Linked DNA regions of Drosophila melanogaster. The protein of the gene in region 1 interacts with the protein of each later gene in a biochemical or structural test. Each region holds a gene or a part of one and is shown on either strand. Other genes may lie near its edges.

The links.
Region 2: the proteins of Syn (region 1) and Dap160 interact in far-western blotting, tested with the Drosophila melanogaster proteins (one study listed by BioGRID).

The regions. Positions count from the first base shown.
Region 1 is NT_033777.3:10,188,906-10,198,828, forward strand, and holds the start of Syn (synapsin), read left to right. Parts: upstream 1-1,783; 5' UTR 1,784-1,989; intron 1,990-4,954; 5' UTR 4,955-5,108; intron 5,109-6,445; 5' UTR 6,446-6,463; coding exon 6,464-6,522; intron 6,523-6,810; coding exon 6,811-7,142; intron 7,143-7,712; coding exon 7,713-7,876; intron 7,877-7,935; coding exon 7,936-8,007; intron 8,008-9,923. UniProt on the Drosophila melanogaster protein: Plays a significant role in nervous system function, which is subtle at the cellular level but manifests itself in complex behavior.
Region 2 is NT_033779.5:21,134,738-21,144,756, forward strand, and holds the start of Dap160 (dynamin associated protein 160), read right to left. Parts: upstream 7,611-10,019; 5' UTR 7,502-7,610; intron 7,276-7,501; 5' UTR 7,052-7,275; coding exon 6,888-7,051; intron 6,816-6,887; coding exon 6,441-6,815; intron 6,272-6,440; coding exon 5,832-6,271; intron 5,754-5,831; coding exon of another isoform or gene 5,742-5,753; coding exon 5,480-5,741; intron 5,420-5,479; coding exon 5,272-5,419; intron 5,206-5,271; coding exon 4,939-5,205; intron 4,866-4,938; coding exon 3,975-4,865; intron 3,625-3,974; coding exon 3,376-3,624; intron 3,294-3,375; coding exon 3,020-3,293; intron 2,952-3,019; coding exon 2,778-2,951; coding exon of another isoform or gene 2,740-2,777; exon of another isoform or gene 2,394-2,739; intron 2,370-2,393; coding exon of another isoform or gene 2,359-2,369; exon of another isoform or gene 539-2,358; intron 293-538; coding exon 1-292. Other genes in the region: pths (porthos), read left to right, coding at 8,569-8,766, 8,827-9,085, 9,275-10,019.

The DNA.
Region 1 (9,923 bases):
GCTTTTCTAAGAGCAAACTCAAGCGGAAATGCCTGACACACCTACACACGCAATTCTGAACTAACATTATCAAACAACTTTATAATTAAAGCATTTTCATGCAGCTGGGCAGTAATATGCACCATTCAAGTCAACCTAAGGCTTTTAGCAAAAAAGTTAGTCATTTTTATTAGTTAATGAAAAAAACTTAACTCGTATCTGATGCTGCAGTTAAGAGAGAAAAGTTTTGGGCTAAGAGCGCATCTTGAAGAGAAACGAGAATAACTCAACTAACTCGCAAATTCGCGCATATTCCAGACAATTTAATACCATAATTTAAATGTTAGCTAGACACTCAACTAACTAAACCTATTTTGCATGAAGTTGGCTATAATCAGCAGTAGTTTTCCATCATTAAACTTCATTTGGTTTTTCGTTTTTGTTCACTTTAAAGTTTATACATTTTGCTGCTCTTTTCAACAGAGCGACGTGTGAGCAACACGTGAAAACAAGTTTTATGCAACAGCTCATTGTTTACTTATTGTTGTTGGGGTCGTTTGTAAAATGTGTTTATTTATTCGAAAAAGTTGTTTTTATTTGCTATTACTCAGCTACCTGCACTCCGCACTAATGATTATTACTTTTGAAACGCGTTAAAGCACTACAATTGTTAAATAGATTTAGTCGGGAACTTTCCGCTTGACACGTTAACAGTTCGAGAGATTGTTGGCAACTGAATCGCAGAGACGGAAATTGCTCTAAGCCAAGCTTTGCTGTTTCGGCTTGGCTGCTTTATTTTGTTTCTTCTTGTTTTAACTCTCTCTTTCTCTCGCTCTCTTTGTGCTGCTCTTTTTGGACACATCTTCGTTTGTTTTGGCCATTATTACTTTGCCTACTCATTCTGGCCATCGGAGGCGTTACCATATCGCTGGAAAAAGAATTTAAGCCATGGCTTTGGCGCCCAAGCAACAGCTCCCTTCGTCTTGGCCCAGTTGCTCTCTATTTTTATCAATTCGCCATGCTTGCTGATAAAAATATTACAATGTGCGTCAGTAACTCTAGGTGTAAGATCACTAAAAAAAAGTTTAACTCCTATTAAAAATATTCCAACAAATGAGAAATTTTTAACAAAGCCATTTCCTTGTTATTGTCAATATCTATTTTAAAGTATAATATCCAACCATTAGGAAAATGTTTTTTACAAACATATAAAATGTTTCTTGTTTAATAATTTAAAAACATTATAATTATGTTTTTTCAGAAACTATTTTTTGAAAAAAATGAATAATAATTCAAAAGTGTTGCATTATATTTGCAAGTACTAGATCTGTTGCTTACACCAAATTTTAAGAAAATTTGGCTTGCATGGTTGGTTTTGAATAGTGTATTATATAGTGGTGGTTGATGGAACTCGTAGCGTAACGCAGACTTCAATGAATCGATATGCCCGCAGGTTTCTCTTACTCACGCATGCGCACTAACTTCCAATGGGGTGGTCTTCGTAAAAGAGAGTAACCAGTGTTGGTAAAATATATAAAAATAACGGTGTATTTCAAGCAATTTTAGGAAGTTATTAATAAAAGCCTGGAAAATATTGAATCATATTTTAATTACTCATCCTGCCTGTCTATAAAACAACCAGTAGTGGATTATTAAGTATATATTTTACTATAAAATGCACATTGCACTGACTCTCTTTTCAAAACTCTCTCCAATATCTCTCCCTCTCTTTGAGTACTTACATGCCTTTACATTCGCACATTTCTTTTGGTGGGAAACTCTTGGATGAAAAGCCCACTCGCTCAGTGAAAATTTCATCACCGTCGTTGACAGTTCAGCCAAAATTCTCTAGCTCCACAAAATTCGCCCAGCCAAATCTCAAAATTATCTAAACTACATTTTTTGTTCACTTTTGATCATTAAAAGTCATCGCTTAACGTTCATCGGCCATTCGAGTGGAAATTTGTGAGCTCGAGCAGGAATATTCAAGTGAATTTTTAGCTCTTTTCGGTAAAGAAAAACGCAATTACCCAAAAATCGAAACACGGCTAAAGTGGAAAAAAAAATATATAAGAAATTTCTGTATCAGCTAGTCAGCGTTGTTTGCCCCCAGTGTGAGTGCAAGTGTCTGTGTGTATTTTGTGTGTGTGCGAGTGTGTGTGGGTTTGTGTCTGTGTGTGTACGTGATAAGCGTAGACAGACGCCGTAACAACAAAACTGAGACCCCGAGGTTAGAGAGGCACCATCGCTTTATTGAATTACAAGTAAAACAAAGAGCGCGACTTAGCTGGCGATTAAAGAGTCCTCAAAAGGGGAGAGGTGGAGGGGAAGTCGGAAAAAAAAGGGGATCCAAAGCGGGCGGTGGCAACCTGATAACCCACAAACCCACTGCCAGCGGGAGCCGAGCAAATAGTCCTGAGTGGCGGTTTTGATACTGCTAATTGCTTGGGAAAAATTAATTAAAAACCTTGGTCTCTAAAACTATTTACCACTGGTCGCTTGGAGAGATAATTCTTTATATTTCGCTTTAGATTCAACTTGTTTTTGATCTTAGCTATTGGTTCTGGGTAACTGAAACTATTTTTAAAACGAATTATCTTAGTTAAAGAACATCAGAAAATGCTTTCTGATATATCCAATAAGCTTAAATTTATACGCACAAGCCCAATTTTATTTCTTGAGTTCTAAAGTGGCAAAATCTTTATAGCTTAACTAAAAGCCATAAAAGTCTTTGACCCCAGACGGAAATAGCTGCCACAATTTGCGTGAGCCAACGGTACAATTTACTCTGAAATGCTTGGCAGTTTTAATTACCATCGAAAAGACATTACGCCCTGTTTTATGACAAGCCAACGCACATATCAACACAAAGCATTCTCGTAAGGGAAAAGCCACTGGAAAATGGGTTAAATGTGGCTGCAGGTGCTGCAGGTGCTGCAGCTCCGGATGTAGAGTCCTGCATTTACCCATTCCGCAACTCGTTCTCGCATTGCAGTTTATATAAAACGGTTGACAGAAAATGCAACTGCTTAAGCTGCCATAAAAGGAAACTTTAATTTGCCACTGACGTTGATGGATTGTGTTGCAACTTCGCTCTTACCGGGAAAATAGCCCAAGCCACCCACAAGATCGGGGGGTTAAGCCGGGCCATAAAGTTTTTCCAGCACAGATTTGTGCTGGGTACCAAAAAGTTGCGGGCAAAAACAGTCCAGAGAAGTTCCAAAGCCTCCGGAAAGGGCAACCCAACAGCCGAGACCCTCAACACGTTACTGTGATTATTAATTCAAAAAGTTTTCACACACACGTACAGCCAGGCAGCCAAAAGTAGAGGGATGTGTGCTCGTTCAGACAACACGGCGGATGAAAATATCCCGCAAACGAGCTGTACTGGCAATCAGCCGAATGGCAACACATGTATATCGATGCTAGACGGTTATGAATTATGCAAGAAATACCAGGAAGTTAAGGAGCCTGACCAACTTAATTTGGGCAAATAACGAGGACCAATCTGCTGGCTGGATAATTAAATAAGACTTAAAGTTGGCCAAATAAGTTTATCGAAAAACCGCTCAGTTATTACTGTTTTGATAGGCAAAATAAACAGAGCAAACAAACAATCGGGGCCATCAATAATGAAATCGATTTGTATAAGCTCTACTTAGTCACCCAGCCTGCGAGTTAGTCCGTTTCTGACGTGTGCTGAACTTTGACATTTGGGAACACGCTAAAGAAAATGCCAAATGTCAAAACTGTCCGTGTTGGAAAGTGCAGCTATCGCACAGCTTCTGGTCGAAAATCAGAGAATCCCAGCTCAGCTGTGTGTGGGGGCCAAAAAGTAAGTCACAGACAGAACGGCGTCCCTGCGTATACGTAATCTTCTTAGCCACAGCAACTCATTATTAGAGCTTATGTCATGAATGGATAAGGAGGAGTCGGGATTTTATTATCGGAAAAATTGGAAAGTCTTGACTTTGTAATGAACTTCAACAATGTATGTGCATCTCATTGGACCAGCAAGGACATCCTCAATTGTTTAACCCTAAAAAGTAGGCTACGAAAAGTTGCACAACCGCCTTGAATATTTTAGTTATGATAAGTGAATCAGCACTTTGCTTGCGACCTTTGGGACACATTAACGCAATTTTCCCGCACTTAGCTGGGACCGCAGAGGCAAAAGGCTTGGCCTGCTGATTTGTTTAGGTGTTATTTACACATAACATTTGGTTATTCGGCCGCAAATCTTTCACATTTTTTTCGTATTGCCTAGGGATGTGTGTTTTCGAGTTTTTCAGTGAGCGTTCAGTGGTGTTTGTATACTATGTCCTACATAGAGGCCACTGCCAGTGCAATGAACCAAAAACAATGTTTTGCTTGGCAGTCGACGGCAAAAAAAAAAAGAGAGCAACAAAAGCGACAGTCAGTCGTCCCTGGGGATGTTAACCAGTCGCTCGTCCGTTCATTCATTCCGCCATCCATCCATCCATCCAGTCGTCCCATTGCCTGGACATCCTCTGCCTGATAGCTGTTCGAGTTGATTTGCTCTTTGTGTTTTCCCTTTTCTTTTATTTTTCCGTATTTCCTTCAACTTTTGGCGATAAGTTACCGGACCGAAGCCAGCTAAATAAAAGGGTTTCGATGAAGTTCGTCGGGGGAATATGTGTGGCAGTGATAAACTTAAGGATGCAGTGGGTTTCATTTAATAAGAGAAAGTTAAGACTACATTTTTATAAATTTTTGTCATTTACCAGAAGTTCATTATGCGGGGCACATAATTGAACCTAGGTTGCTTTAGGTGTCACTCATTTAATTAAAAACATTAAGCTTTATAGAATTTAAGCTTTGTTGGAATCTTCCTCTGCTTAATATAATTCTCAATATATTTAATAATTAATAGAAAAAAAGAAAAAATATCAGAAAAAATTAAAAGATTAATTGTCCTTCCATTTAATTTAAAAGATTAATTCCCTACTTACAGATTAAAATAGCGACCGGATAGCCTGAGATTCGTCGTAGTAACGAAGCGAACCCCTGCGAAAACGGAGGCCAACTGCTCGACTTAATTGTCGACCACTGTCAATATTAGCGCCATCGCAACTGCTGGGTGTGGGCGAATCTGCGCCCCGCCACCGGTAAGACTGTTCCAAGATTCGTTCGCGCTTTCAGAACCCACTCATTTCACTTTGGCTTTTCTATATGGCACCCAAAGATATCACTCGAATCATATGGCAAAACACACTCACATATCTATAGCCTTGCTACGCTTTCATCAGCAAATTGCTTTTCAGTTTTTTCAGCTTCAATCTTTTTTGTTTTTCCACCAAGCTGCCCACTTGAACCTTTTCGCACACAAACACGCAAATTTACCCACAGGGGGTCGGTGTGCTGGTGTGTGCCTGAGACCAACATTATTATTATGTAGGGGCTGAAAAGTTTCAAGTGGCTGTAGGCCTGCGGGCCACGATAATAAATACAAAACGCACAGCGCCGTTTTGGCCACAAGTGTTTGACATTGTTGACTTGGTCCAAAAGAGCCCCCCAAACGCTAAACTTCACCACCGATTGATTTCTAACGTTATGCGCCACACAAAAGATCCTTGGAAATATAATGGCTATGCAATTTCAACACACTGGCCATTGTCCTTAAATGTCCTTGGCTTGTGCACCTGTTGCCGTTAGCTCGACTTTATACTCATGCCCACACGCCGTTCGTTTTAATGTTCTGTTCGTGGTGCTTATTTTAATTAAAATTAAGTTTGAGACACCTTAATTGCCATTTTAATAGAACTTTAGTTTTCACTTAGACCAACTCCGTCTCTATCTATCTCTCTCTCTGTCCGCTAAAACAATATGCATATCCTTTTAAACCACACATTCACGACATTTTCCTAAAGGCAAATGCAACTTTTGTGATTTCATGGCGTACTAAACCCATTATTCCGACAGTAAGTGAAATCAAATGAAACCATTGGAGTTTGTTTTATATAAATATACTAATCTTTAAACCAGTTGACATATGAAATTTGAAATGAGTTTTCCCCTCACTTCACTACATTACATTATGACTATGTAATGTTTTTTACGATTTTTACCATCTTTCACTGCGAAAATGCACATTCGAAGTGACCACATTACGCATACGCCACATTGGCGTAACTGAATTAGAGAAAGTTTTCAAAACAATTAGGATCCAAGTGAGAACGTTGGCTTAGCTTGGCCACAAAATCTCATTAACTTCTTGCAATAAAGTTAAATAAAGGGACAAACATATGAACTAAGTGACTTATTTTATGTTTGTGAGACGCTTTAAATTACTGTATGCCTTAATGTTCAATGTCTATGCACAATAAATATCAGAAATCATTAAATGAATGCCCAAATTGAAAGCACTCTAGCTAATTAATTAGCAAATCAACTATACTTTGTATGTGTTTTTTTTTTATGTATTTTCGCGTGCCGCGGATCAAAGGAGCCAAAAAGCAGCACCCTGAATTTCTCGTCGTTCAAATCGAGCTTCACTTCCAATGTTAATTTCCTGAAGAGAAGGTAAAGACCTTAAAAAAGGAAGTGCCCCCTTTGGCAGAAGGGGGCCCAGTTGAACGAAACTAATTTGAAATTTCATATGTTCGTCTATTTCTCTATCTTTTCTTCTCGGGCGGTATTTGTCTACCACCCCATTTGATTATCTCATCCTTTTTTCACTCAATTGCGCCGCACCATTTAATCTGTCTACTTGTCTGGCGGTTGAAAAACAACCGAATCAATCAAAAACACTCGATTACTCGAACACCACCTACCACAACCACAACCCACCCACACGAAAACTACTAACAGATTCAGCTCGGGAGACTTGTCTTCCGAGGTAGACGATGTCGATCCGAATAGCCTGCCGCCGGCGGCGCGGCCCATCCAAGATCAGCCGACGAAGCCGCCGGTTGCCGGCGGACCGCCGAATATGCCGCCACCGCCGGCTCCCGGCCAACCGGCCGGAGCTGCTCCGGAGCTGTCGTTGAGCTTTGGCGCCGGCAAAACCCCGGCGACGGCCGCACCTGCTCCACCACGTGGTGTCAGTGCGCCGACCAGTCCGGCCAAGTCGCGCGAAAGCCTGCTGCAGCGGGTGCAGAGCTTGACCGGCGCTGCCCGGGATCAGGGAGCCTCCATTTTGGGTATGCTTTGGCATTGGCAGGCACCTACACTCAGAAAAATATGGCAGTCAATCAGTCACATAACATGTAGAGACGGCATCATCAAGTCTTGGTATATATAGTAAACAATCCACTTTATAAGCAATGCGTCTCTGTCAATCCATACCATTATGTTACTGTAATTGTTGTCCTTCTATTTACCTGTTGATTGCTTTTAGTTTAAATATAGTAACCGTTATTATCCTTGGTATTTATAGATGCTATGGGTGATCACTTACAACAACTCCTTTACTGTAGAACAAGATATACAATTTCAATTCCTTTGTAAACTTTTTAAATAACTATTCTATTACTCTATTAACAATTCATGGGTGACTTCATCTTTAATGTGAACTTATAAAATATTAAATATTTTACGTTCTATTAATTGTTTAAGTAGTCAATGAGAAACAGACTCAAAATCCCGAAGTAAACCGTCTTAAATAACTTTAATGGTTGTGTCTTACCAAATGTTGCAATCTATGAGATTTTTCTGAGTGTAGGGACTGTTTATTGGTCTCTGAGCATGGAATGACATCTAACCCAAAACAGGAGCTGCGGTTCAGAGCGCCACACAACGGGCACCGGCATTCAGCAAGGACAAGTACTTCACGCTGCTGGTTTTGGATGACCAGAACACGGACTGGTCCAAATACTTCCGGGGCAGGCGCTTGCACGGCGACTTCGACATCCGAGTGGAGCAGGCCGAGTTTAGGGCAAGTACCATACCATTTCTCATCCGGTAATCGGGATAATTACTGTTTGTCCACTGCAGGACATTACGGTGGTCTCCAGCGCGGACACCGGACCAGTTGTCACCATGGCCGCCTATCGCAGTGGCACTCGGGTGAGTTATCCAAGACACTGAAACAAATTACACTGGTATATATATATATCCATACCAGTGTATACCATATACCATATACCATATATATGTATATAGTGACGTATTTGGGTGGTCCAAACCAGCCACTTCCATTATTTCAAAGAAATCAGTAATGCACTCTAGTAATTTTCCATAACGTATCCCAGCTGCGCAGCATTCGTTTATCTTTGGCAGCGCAGCCGTTCTTGTAAACATCCTAAAGCCTGACCTAAGCAGATTTGACTGCCCTCTTTCAACGCTACCTAATCTTAAGAACCCAAGAGCGAGGCTCTCCCGAAATACAAATATTGTTCAAATACTGAGGCTTCTCCTCAATCCAATTTGCATTTGATTTTTAGTCTTAAGCTGAGATCCAAAGAATAAAGTCGTGAAACTATTTCTCCTAAAAACTATTTTTTATTTCTTGGCGTTGTCCTTAGTCAACTGACGGGACATTAGTTCGACTCATAAATAAAACAACAATTTTACTGGCGCAGTCGGTAGGATACAAAAGTATCCGAAAAAAAGAACCTTCGAGTGGAAAATAAGTTAAATTTTATAGTCCAGTGCTCGAAACATCTCCCAAAATAAATTCGTGAAAACTCTTCAACTTGGATTATAATTCCAATTCGGTTATCCAATAATAAGTGGAAGTGAAATACGAAACAAAAATATTAAGTCCAAAGGCAACTAAGTTTTAAAACCAACATATAAAAATAAAAAATTAAAACAATATAGAATTTTAATAATACAACACAAAAATTTACAAAACAAAAAAAACAAACAAGTGAAACTAGAAAGCTTAAAAATAATAATAACATTGAATCCGAAACAAAACAAAAAAATAAAACACAAAAGTTAAAAATTTTACAATAAAAATGTCACAACCAATTATTGCGCTGAGCGACATAAACCTTGCCGAAGCCCGTCGGCAGCTTAAAGACATTATGCCATTCAAAGGTGATCCAGAAACCCTTCACACCTTTATCAGCAGAGTGGATTACGTAATTTCGCTCTACCAAACAAATGATGTCCGACAACAGAGGATTCTACTGGGAGCCATCGAAAGGAACTTGGACGGACAAATTACACGATCTTTGGGACTTCCGAACATCGAAGATTGGCCTACCCTTAAAGCAAGACTCATCGCGGAATTTAAAATTCAAACACCAAACTACAAACTTCTGGAGAACTTCAGGGAGACACCATACAGAGGAAGCCTAAGAGCATTCTGCGAAGAAGCGGAGAGACGACGTCAATTACTAATTTCGAAACTACACCTGGAAGGTAACCAATCGGATTTTCTTATTTATATTCAGGGTATTAAAGAATCTATTAAGATACTGATAAGGAAACTACCAATACAATTATTCACTATTTTAGCCCATCACGATATTACAGACTTAAGATCCTTAATTACCATTGCACAAAATGAGGGAATTTATGAAGAACACATTAATTTTGAATTTTATGAAAAACCAGAATATCGTAATAAAAATTCAAATTCTAACCGGAATTCGAAAACACAAAAATTCAATACAAATGTTCAAACTCAAAATCGACCAAGTTACTCACAATATTCCCAACCCTTCCAACCTAATTTTAATCAATACATTCAACCATTTAGACCTAGCTATACACAGCAGATAACTAACAACCCACCCATGTGGCACGCACCTAATTATTTCAGACCCAACCAATACATAAACCCACAACCCATTATTCAAAAAAATCATTTCCAACAATATCCCAACAAAGCCCAATTTCCCCAAACAACGCATTTTAGAGGAAATACATACCCTCGACTACAACAACCCTCTACATATAAAAATACTAACTTCCCGATTACTAAACGACTAAGACCATCGGACAGTGAACAAACTAAAATGTCTATTGAC
Region 2 (10,019 bases), on another chromosome or scaffold:
AATTCTGGCTGCCAGTCGACCACCACTGCTTTGCCAACCAATTGATTCCCATTTTCCTGAAGCATGGACTTGGCCAACAGCTCATTGCACTCAAACCGGACATAGGCACATCCCATTAGTTGGCCATCCCGCCGCTTGGTTATGTGCACGGCCTGAATAATGCCTCGCAGCTTATTGTTGGATGCATCTCCGTGCTGTGCAGCCTGGTCGATATCGCATCCGCGCCACTGTTGCCATAACCGCTGGATTCCCTTGGATCTTCTAGAACAGGCACCTGGATCTGGCTTGATCTCTGCGGGTGTAGAGGCATAACTATTATGAATACTCTTTTAAATGCATTCGTCAGGTGTGCAGCCCATAAAGTTCGCAATAGCCGAGTGTACCCATGTTTCGGACATAACAAGTGGCCACTGCAAGAGATCATAGATATCATAGATATACTAAATGTACAGAACTACCTGCTACACACTCCTTAGCGAATCTACGAGTAACGGAAAGAGAAACGTAAACATTTTGTTTGATTTTCTTTTATACATTTATTGCACCAAATATGTGTAATTTGTTATTTTCATAATTTAATTTAATATTTTTGCTCTTCTCTTTTTGTTTTTGTCTATCTTTGAAACTAATATATTTCAATATGTTTTATAGTAGTTTTTTGTTTTGTTTTTCTAGAAGAATTCACTTTATATTTACTCGAATGCATTGCACGTCTGCAGAAGAGTTCTGCAAGTTCTGCTCACCTCTCACCTCAGCTTGTATATAGGTAAATATATCGATGGTCTTCATTTCGCGTTTAAAGTGATTTTTTAGTGTAGGTGTGCTAATGCATTTGATCGGTATTTTGCGCCTCGTCAGTAATTACGCTTAAGCATTGTTTACAATAACAAACTTTTGTAACGATTAAACAAGTACGCTTATATGAGTACGCATTATATGTATGCAGGAGTGTATATGCGGGACGCGGAATGTACGAATATCTCAATTAACATATTTGCTTTGCGTTTTCTAAAGAAATTGTAGTATTTTCTGTATATATTAGGTATATGCTATGCTTCTTTTGTGGTTCGTTCAAAGTTATTAGTACATTTATATGTGGAATTAAACAACCCAACATTTGCTACATAAATATGTGTTAATGCTTTTAGAACTTACCCACCCAGCTGATCAGTTGGGATTACAGCACCAACTGATCGCAGCCATGTGGGGCTCATAACGATTCTTTACTTTGGTTTCATTTAATATAGTTATAGACGCATATGTAGTCGTGGTATGCAATAACAAGTTACGATTAAGTTAGTCCGTTTAAAGTGACTGTTTGGTTATCAATTTGAAAGGCATTCGACAGTGTTTCTTCATATGTACGAGATAGCGTAGATACATGTGTAGTGTGATTTGTTAAATAGACTAAATGTAACTAGCATAGAATGATTCGAACAGTATAACGTGGCCCTCTATAATATCCGACTATCAATCCAATCGGGTGGAAAGAACTATGTGTGGATTTTGTACATACTTAGTTTTTACATGCAAACAAATGTAACATTATCAATGAGACAATACACGTAAAATTAATACAGTTATGGCAGTTCAGATAAGCGCTTAACTTAGTCAATAAATCAAGTACGTTATTGTTAAGTTAAACTGAAATTAGCCATTACAAATATATTTCCCGTTTTTTCATTAAACTTGATGTCTTTATAAAGATATAAGTAAATGGTCATCATGCTTAATATTTAGTTAACAATAATGTATACTCCCACTTTTGGTTTTAATACTTTCAGTATATACAATTACATTCGGATATTATTGGAAAACACAGAAAACCATCGTTATAGATACTATTTGCGTATTTGTGGTAGCATTTGGGGAAAAAACTGCTGAATATTCTGGATTTGATCGATAAACACATCTACATTTAACAAAATTTCAAGTGTCATTTGATATCCTTATATATATTGTAGTTTCCATATGCAGATTATTATATAAACCCTTTAAAATGTGACTTACTAAAATTCGGTTGTATCTTTCGTTTGATTTGTTACGAACGTGAGAGCAGTGTTTGATTCTATAAATGATTTCACATGATATCTGCCTAATTCTATCAAGTTAAGGGAATTTTACACCGAATAGGATAAACATTATGCATAAACTTTCAGGTTCAACAATGAATTTAGCCAACTTATAGGCTTTCTAGAATACTGTACGAATTCCCGTTAGGTAATTACTGAGGATATTGATGCTGCTGCTGATGCTGATCTTAAGCTAACCCAACTCCCAAAGGATCATGTAGATTATCTATCGGATTTTCTGTATGCAAGTGCCTGATGCCGCTTAGAGGCCAAACCCGAAGGCTCGTTATACGTTTCCTGTTGGCAATTAAGATCGAAATTGGATTTAATTCTTTTAATTTATGTACAATAAGTGAAATACAAAATATAATTATGCCGACTAAATAAATACATAAATGAAATAACACTAGAAATTAGCTAAGCGAAAATAGAGAGGTCGCTAGTGATAAGCTTAGGAGTAAATCTAAAAACTAAATAATCACAATTAACAATTAGATACATCTTGGAAATATTGCAACAAATAAACACTAAAGTGGGGGTTTCAATAGCGAGAATAGGCGAGAACTTATTGGAATCGATAATGGATAATTCGAAAATAATAGTAAACATAACAATATGTGTACGGAATGTGGTAACTAGAGAGCTAAGCTGGATCGGTATGTGAGATTCACTTCTTGGTGGTGCCATTTGCTTTTGCTGGCTTACCGGACGTCACGAAGGGCCCCACATAGTTGCTAGGGAAGAGACCGGAAAGGCCATTCAGCTCGCCACGCCACCACTCCGGCTCATCCCGACCCAGAACGCTAATGATATCGTCCTTATCAAACGACAGCTCGTCGTCATTTTGTGCTTTGTACGGATAGAGAGCAATGACCTTGTCTGCATGGGAAAAACGATATAGATAAAATAATTTATTTAAATCATACTACGAATATTCAAAAACCAACCCAAGATCTGTTCAGTCATCTCGATTCGACTACCGGAAACCGGAGTATTCCGTCCGCTGTTGCGCCCGCCTTGGAGAACCTTCACGTAAGTGGCCGGGAACCATCCGATCTGCCGCCGTCGACCCTTTGCCTGCAGCTCACCCTCCCACCAGCCGGAGTCCGTCTTTTTACGGATCATTATTAATTGGCCTCTCGTCAGCGAAAGCTGTTCCGTGCTGGTTGCCTCATAGGGCGCGATTACTTGAGCAATCTCAGACCGCTTGGCACGCATTCCCTGCAAAATGATGACGAAAAAGATGTTGGTTCATTAAATGAAACAATAAATGAAGTGGTAACGGGCTGTGTCAACTATTTACGGGTGTCATGGAAGAGGTGCGTGACATGGGTCGGCTGTAGCTCTCGGCAGGCTCGCTGCTCTGTGTTTTGGACTGTGTATTTATCTGGGAAACTTCAGTGTCGAGGTCTTCGTGCGCCTCCTCGGCGCCAACGCCTGGGCTAGATATCGGCTGCTCGCTGGGCTCCTGAACAGGCAGCGGCTGGTAAACCTGCTCCTGTGCCTCCACGGGAGCAGCGGTGTAGGCAGCGTTGCCGTTTAGCGTCGTCTCCTGGGTCAGTGCAAGTGTAACACGGTAGCAAAAAGCACAGCACATGAAAAGCATTGGATTAGTAGATGGACGTGAGGGCAACGGTTAGACACGACTCTAGACTTCGGGATTGTAAACTCTTTACAAGTAAGATAAAGTGTTGGCCTGTATATTTAGCGTTTATATTCTCTTATATGGGAACTAAATTCACTTCTCTCTTATATAAATAATGTCGCTTACTTTTTTTTAATATGAAATTGTACACGATTTTGTATACATAATAATATTATAATTCTTGATTCTAGTTCCAATCAATTTAAAACGCAAATGGCCCCACACATTACTTAATTATGTACTATCTATCCACTTACCTGATCAAGAGATTCTACCGGTTCGGCAGCGGCTGTGCTCGCTGTGCCCACATCAGCCTTTTGGACATAGTTCGAAGGAAACATGCCCGTGCGGCTACCAATGGTACCTGTCCACCACTCACCCTCCTTCTTGATGACCATGACCATCTCACCGGCACTGAAGCTCAAATCGCCTTCCTCGGCGGACTCATAAGGATATGCGGCTATATAATACTCGACATCGCCGGCGGCAGTCAGATCTGCGGAAGCTGCCGGAATCGAGCTGGTATTGATATTGTCATTGTAGGTGTCAGCCACGGTGGCCACTTGAGCATCAACCGGGGCTTCGACAGCGGCGACAGGAGCAACTTCACCGACTTCTAGTTTCTCCACATAGGATTCAGGGAACCAGCCGGTGTGGCCATTTATTTCGCCAGCCAACCATCCCGGCTCGGCGTTCTGCTCCAATGGCACCAGGATAATGTCACCAGGCACAAAGGTAATCTCCTCCGCGTTGCGTGCGTTGAACTCGTATACTGCTTGATATTTCACGAATCCTTCTGGGGCCGGTCCCCCTAAGTCCACAGCTGGAGCGGCCAGTGCGGAGATATCATTGCTCGCAACTGCGTAGGGATCGGTGACAGTCGTACCCGTCTCCTCCCAAGCACTGGAAGAGCCTGTGTCCCAGGCCGACGATACACTAGTTTCGTTCTTTCGATTGTACTTCAATTCCAGCACCGAGGTGCGCTGCACATCGTATTCCTTGTACAGATCCTCGCACTTTGTGATTAGAGCGGAGAGCTCGGCCTTGAGCTCAGACATCTGTACATCATTAGTGTTGATGTCCTCCTTCTTTGACTCAATCTCTTTACTGATATTCTCGACTTTATCCTTTATTTGGTTAATAATTAACTGTTGAAAAAGGTAAATAGTATTTTAGAGAATCCGTTGAATACTAAAACTTTACGTATATGCCAAAGCTCACCTGCTTGTGGGCGAATGCGGCATTCAGTTGCTCCTGCTGCGCATTCTCCCCTCCCAAGGCAGCCCCGCTGGCCTTGCTCTTGGCCTCCCACTTGGCCCTCTCTTGGGTGAGCTGAAGCAGTTTAGCGTTCTGTTCCTTAATCCGCGCTTTCAGCTGCGACATTTCGGACATGGAAGTGTCGCGCTGGGTGCGCATTCCGTCGATAACGGTCTTTACGTTTGTCACGCCGGCACGAGTGTCGCAAATCCTCTGCGAAAGCTCCTTGATCTGTAATTAAGCCGAGTTAGTTAGATAGGCCAGCCATATAGATTAGTTGTACTTTAAGAACATTACTTTTTCATTCAGTGTGCTGAGCTCCACATTAAGCTGGGTGTTGTGTGCCTTCTGCTTTAGAACACGTTCTTGTTCCCTCTCCTTCTGTGCGTTCATTTCGGCAATTCTAGCCTGCTCCCATTCCTGCTGGCGCTGCTTCTCAAGCTCCCTGATACAATAGAAATTGTATACATTGTTTTGTCGCTCAAAGCAAGATAAAAGTCCTTACTTTCTGGCCGCCTCCTTAGCCTCCAGTTCCCTCTTGCGCTGCTCCTCCTTCTCCATCTCAATCTCTCGCTGGCGTTGGAGCTGTCGCTCTAGTTCCTCCTGCTGCTTACGCTCGGCCTCCAAACGAGCCTTTTCACGCTTATCAGCCTCTTCACGCTCCTTTCGCTCTCTCTCTTCCCGCTCCTTGCGCTGCTGGTCCTCCATAATTTTGCGCCTACGATCCAGCTCTGCTTGACCCTTAACATAATTCTCCTTTCGCTTGTCTTCGAAGGAAGCTGGTGAACGCGAAATCACAAGTGTTAATATATGGAATATATTCACATGTTTGGCAACGGAGTTAATTAAGCACTTACTTTGTCCAGGTAGTCCGGCTGTTGGGTCAGCATCCACGACTCCCACTCCGCTTTGGGATGAAACAGATGCGTGTCGGGAGGCCGGCTGTGAGCCAGGACGGGATACCACCCCTGAGACCGATCCCGGTCGCGATTTTATTTTGCGCAAGTTGGGCGGTACCCATTCCTGGGGCAAGGTAACCGGAATTTTCTCACCAGCCATGGCCTTCTCGCATAGGAACATGGCAAGAATAAACTCGTCGCAGTTCAGCCGTCCATCGCCGTCGATGTCGGACAGCGTCCAGATTTGGGCCAGCGTGACCTGGGGTAACTTGCTCTGTACGAGAACGCCGCGTGCCTGGGATCCAGTTAAGTAACCAGATCGGGTGCGATCATTAGCATTGAACACCTGCGTGTATTTACGCTTTTGGGCAGCTTGAACGGCCCATTCTCCTTGGTTGCTAAAAGGATAGAAGTTGATTGAGGAGTTAAGAACAGATACGATATTATATATATGTTTTTGCTAATATTTCAATAACTAAGAATATTTGAAATTTAATTAATTAAATTATCTCTTCTTTGCTACATTAATAATATTAAATCATTAATTCGATTCTAAGTGATGCTTACACAGACTCGATCGATGGCGCTCGCTCTGAGATAGACGTGTGGCGACTAGGTGGATTGCTGGTGGGGGGTGTGGGGCCAGACGGCACTGAGACTCCAGGCGGTGAAATGACAGTAGCCACAGCCACCGGTGGAGCCACAACGGGAACAACTGGAGCTACTGCCGGAACTATTCCCTTGAGTGGATCCAAAGGGCTCAAGGAGCTTGTGGAGCCACGTGGCGTCATCGAGGGGACATCGCCGGTAAGAGACGACAGCAGGCTGGGAGGAAGAACCTTGGGAACGTCCATGCCGCGCAACTTGAGGTTGATAAGCTTGCAGGCTATGCTGAACTCATTGATGTTCATCTTGCCGTCGGAATCAGTGTCCGCCAGAGCCCTGGAGATAAGAAAATGAGTAAGAATTAACACTCTTATCGGTGGATGATTCATGGGGGCGTAATATACATACCATATTTGGCCCAGGATCAGGGGCGGCAGCTGGGACTGCAGGAAGAACCCTTTGGCCTGGGCGCCGGTAACGAATCCTGCCTGCGGCTGGAGTGCCCTAAACTGTTCCTGGTACTTCAAACGCTCCCTCGGGGTCACAGCCCACGCATCCACCGCCGAGTTCATTTTGGGCAAACACTTTATCCTAGTTTCCACGGAAAGCTCTTCCTCTTTATCGTCCTTTTTCCGTATGCGTGTGTATTAGTGCGCTCTCTTCGGCTACTTTTGAGTACACATCAAATACAAACTCTTTCGCTCCGCACTCTTTTCGCCGCTCTCTTTACTACGTCTATCGCCTATTCAGTATCCACCACCCCCACAAATTTTCACAATGGATTTTTATGGTTTACCTATAAAGCATTTCCAAAAATATTAAGCGATCTCAATGGACAGGTTGTAAAGATAGATTGCCCCCTTTACTCGCTTTCTGAAGGTTTTAGTTTCTCTTTAGTAGGCGTTTTCACTTGTCAACCGCATAGCCACGAATTAACTGATAAGTAATGATGTGGTATGGTCCCCGCCAACGCACACGTTATTCTCTTATATATCCCTCTTAACTGTAATTTTGTTGCTTACTTTTCATCGGAACAAGAAAATTTTGTATTTGCGTAAATTTTAATCAATATTTTATATGATAGGATCCTATATCGACGAACGATAGGCTCCGATAGGTACGGACTAATAATCGAAGGAGGGTGACCGTCGCTTGTTTCTGTGATTATAGCAAGCAAGTGTTGAAAAGTACGGTGACCTTAAGTTGGATGTGACTATTCTGCAACGTTTTTGTTTTTAGCCGCTAACGGATTTTTAAATAAATGAAACAACTACTGACTATGAGTAATATATTAATTATATTACTTCTACAGTGAACCTCATAAAAATTATGTCGGCAGTATGATGCATTTAACACAATACGAAAATGTATACCTAACCAAAACATCAACAGATCGCAATAAACAAAATCGAAGATTAAAATTCGAATATCCAAAATTATAAGAAAATGTTAAGTACAAGTCAGTTAAATTATTTCAACTATTTTTTTCTTTTATTGTCTTTAATATTTCTATACAATTAAAAATGACAATTATTCAGAAATCTTTTGTTCCGGATTTAACGGAATTGTTAATAATAGCATCAATAACATTTGTGTATGAAAATGTCAAACAGTTTTTATTCGTTGACAGTTCATGACAGACAACCCTCTAATTGGCGTTTCATTAATTTAAAATTGCGCGATGGAAAAAGATGTATACCAAATTTGTATTCACCATCTATTTTCAAACATTGTTATATTAACTGAAATGACAAAATCACAATATTAAACAATTTTCTAACAAATTACGATTTTATACAAATGTGAATATATTTCCGAAACAAACTATTTGCACTATAACTAAGTCCTGTAATTAAGATCATGGTTCAGTATGAATGAGTTACAAATTTTATTAAGTGTGCATGTGATATATCGCACATTAGCTATCGAAAGTTATCATGAATCTGCACTGTTTTAAAGACGCAACTATATCGATAATATCGCAAATAGTTCTATTTCTATTTTACCGCCTCTAATTCTTTTATTTCGACCACGTGCTGCTATTGGTAATGTCCGTACCGTGAAATTTTTCTGAAACTCATGTAACAAAATGTCGGAAACTTCAGAGGACGAACAGACGCAGCTACAAACGAGTGACGAAGAGGAGGATCTAGGTAGCGAGGAGGAGCAGGAAGATGAAGATAACAATCATAAGGAAGGGGACAGCGAGGCGGCACTAAGTGGTGAAGATGATAAAGGCTCCGAGGACGACGCAGCCGAGGAACAGAAGCTAACCTGGAAAGATCTCGTATGAGCCCCACTATTAATTTAAATTAAAATTTAATCGAATGGCCATATTTCTTCAAAGGGTCTCAATGAGGCTTTGTGTCAAGCATGTGACGAATTGAAGTGGAAGGCGCCTTCGAAGATCCAACGTGAGGCCATTCCGGTCGCCTTACAGGGCAAGGATGTAATTGGCCTAGCGGAGACCGGTTCCGGCAAGACGGGCGCCTTCGCTCTGCCAATTTTACACGCCCTTCTCGAGAATCCGCAGCGGTATTTTGCCCTCGTGCTAACCCCCACGAGGGAACTGGCATTTCAAATTGGCGAGCAGTTTGAAGCCCTTGGTGAGTTTTCGCATAGTTTATGTGCTTTTAATTCGCAGTGATGTTAAACCTGTTTTGATTTTGTGTATCAACGAAAATATGAAATTATAATTTTCTTATTCGTCACTACCTCTGAGTAAAAAAACCTTCCCATTTATCGTATTCTTGAATTTCCTTCTGCCAAACTTATGCTAGCTCTGTTTTTTTCAGGTAGCGGGATTGGCATAAAGTGTTGCGTGGTAGTCGGCGGCATGGACATGGTAGCCCAGGGTCTTCAACTGGCCAAGAAGCCGCATATTATAATTGCCACACCGGGTCGCTTGGTTGATCATCTAGAAAACATGAAAGGTTTTAACCTTAAGGCTATTAAATACTTGGTCATGGACGAGGCGGATCGCATTCTTAACATGGATTTTGAGGTGGAGCTGGACAAGATTCTGAAGGTATTGCCGCGTGAACGACGAACCTTTCTGTTCAGTGCGACCATGACCAAGAAAGTAAAGAAACTGCAGCGTGCCTCCCTTAAGGATCCCGTAAAGGTAGAGGTGTCTAACAAGTATCAGACGGTTGAGCAGCTGCAGCAATCATATTTGTTTATCCCTGTCAAATACAAGGATGTGTATTTGGTTCATATCCTTAATGAGCTGGCAGGCAACAGTTTCATGATATTTTGCAGCACCTGCAACAACACGGTTAAGACAGCGTTAATGCTTCGTGCGTTGGGATTGGCTGCTATTCCGCTGCACGGTCAAATGTCGCAAAACAAGCGACTAGCTGCTTTAAACAAATTCAAGGCCAAAAACCGGTCAATACTCATTTCGACGGACGTGGCGTCCCGCGGCTTGGACATTCCTCATGTGGATGTCGTCGTTAATTTCGACATACCAACGCACAGCAAAGACTACATTCACCGCGTGGGAAGAACAGCAAGAGCAGGTCGCTCCGGCAAAGCCAT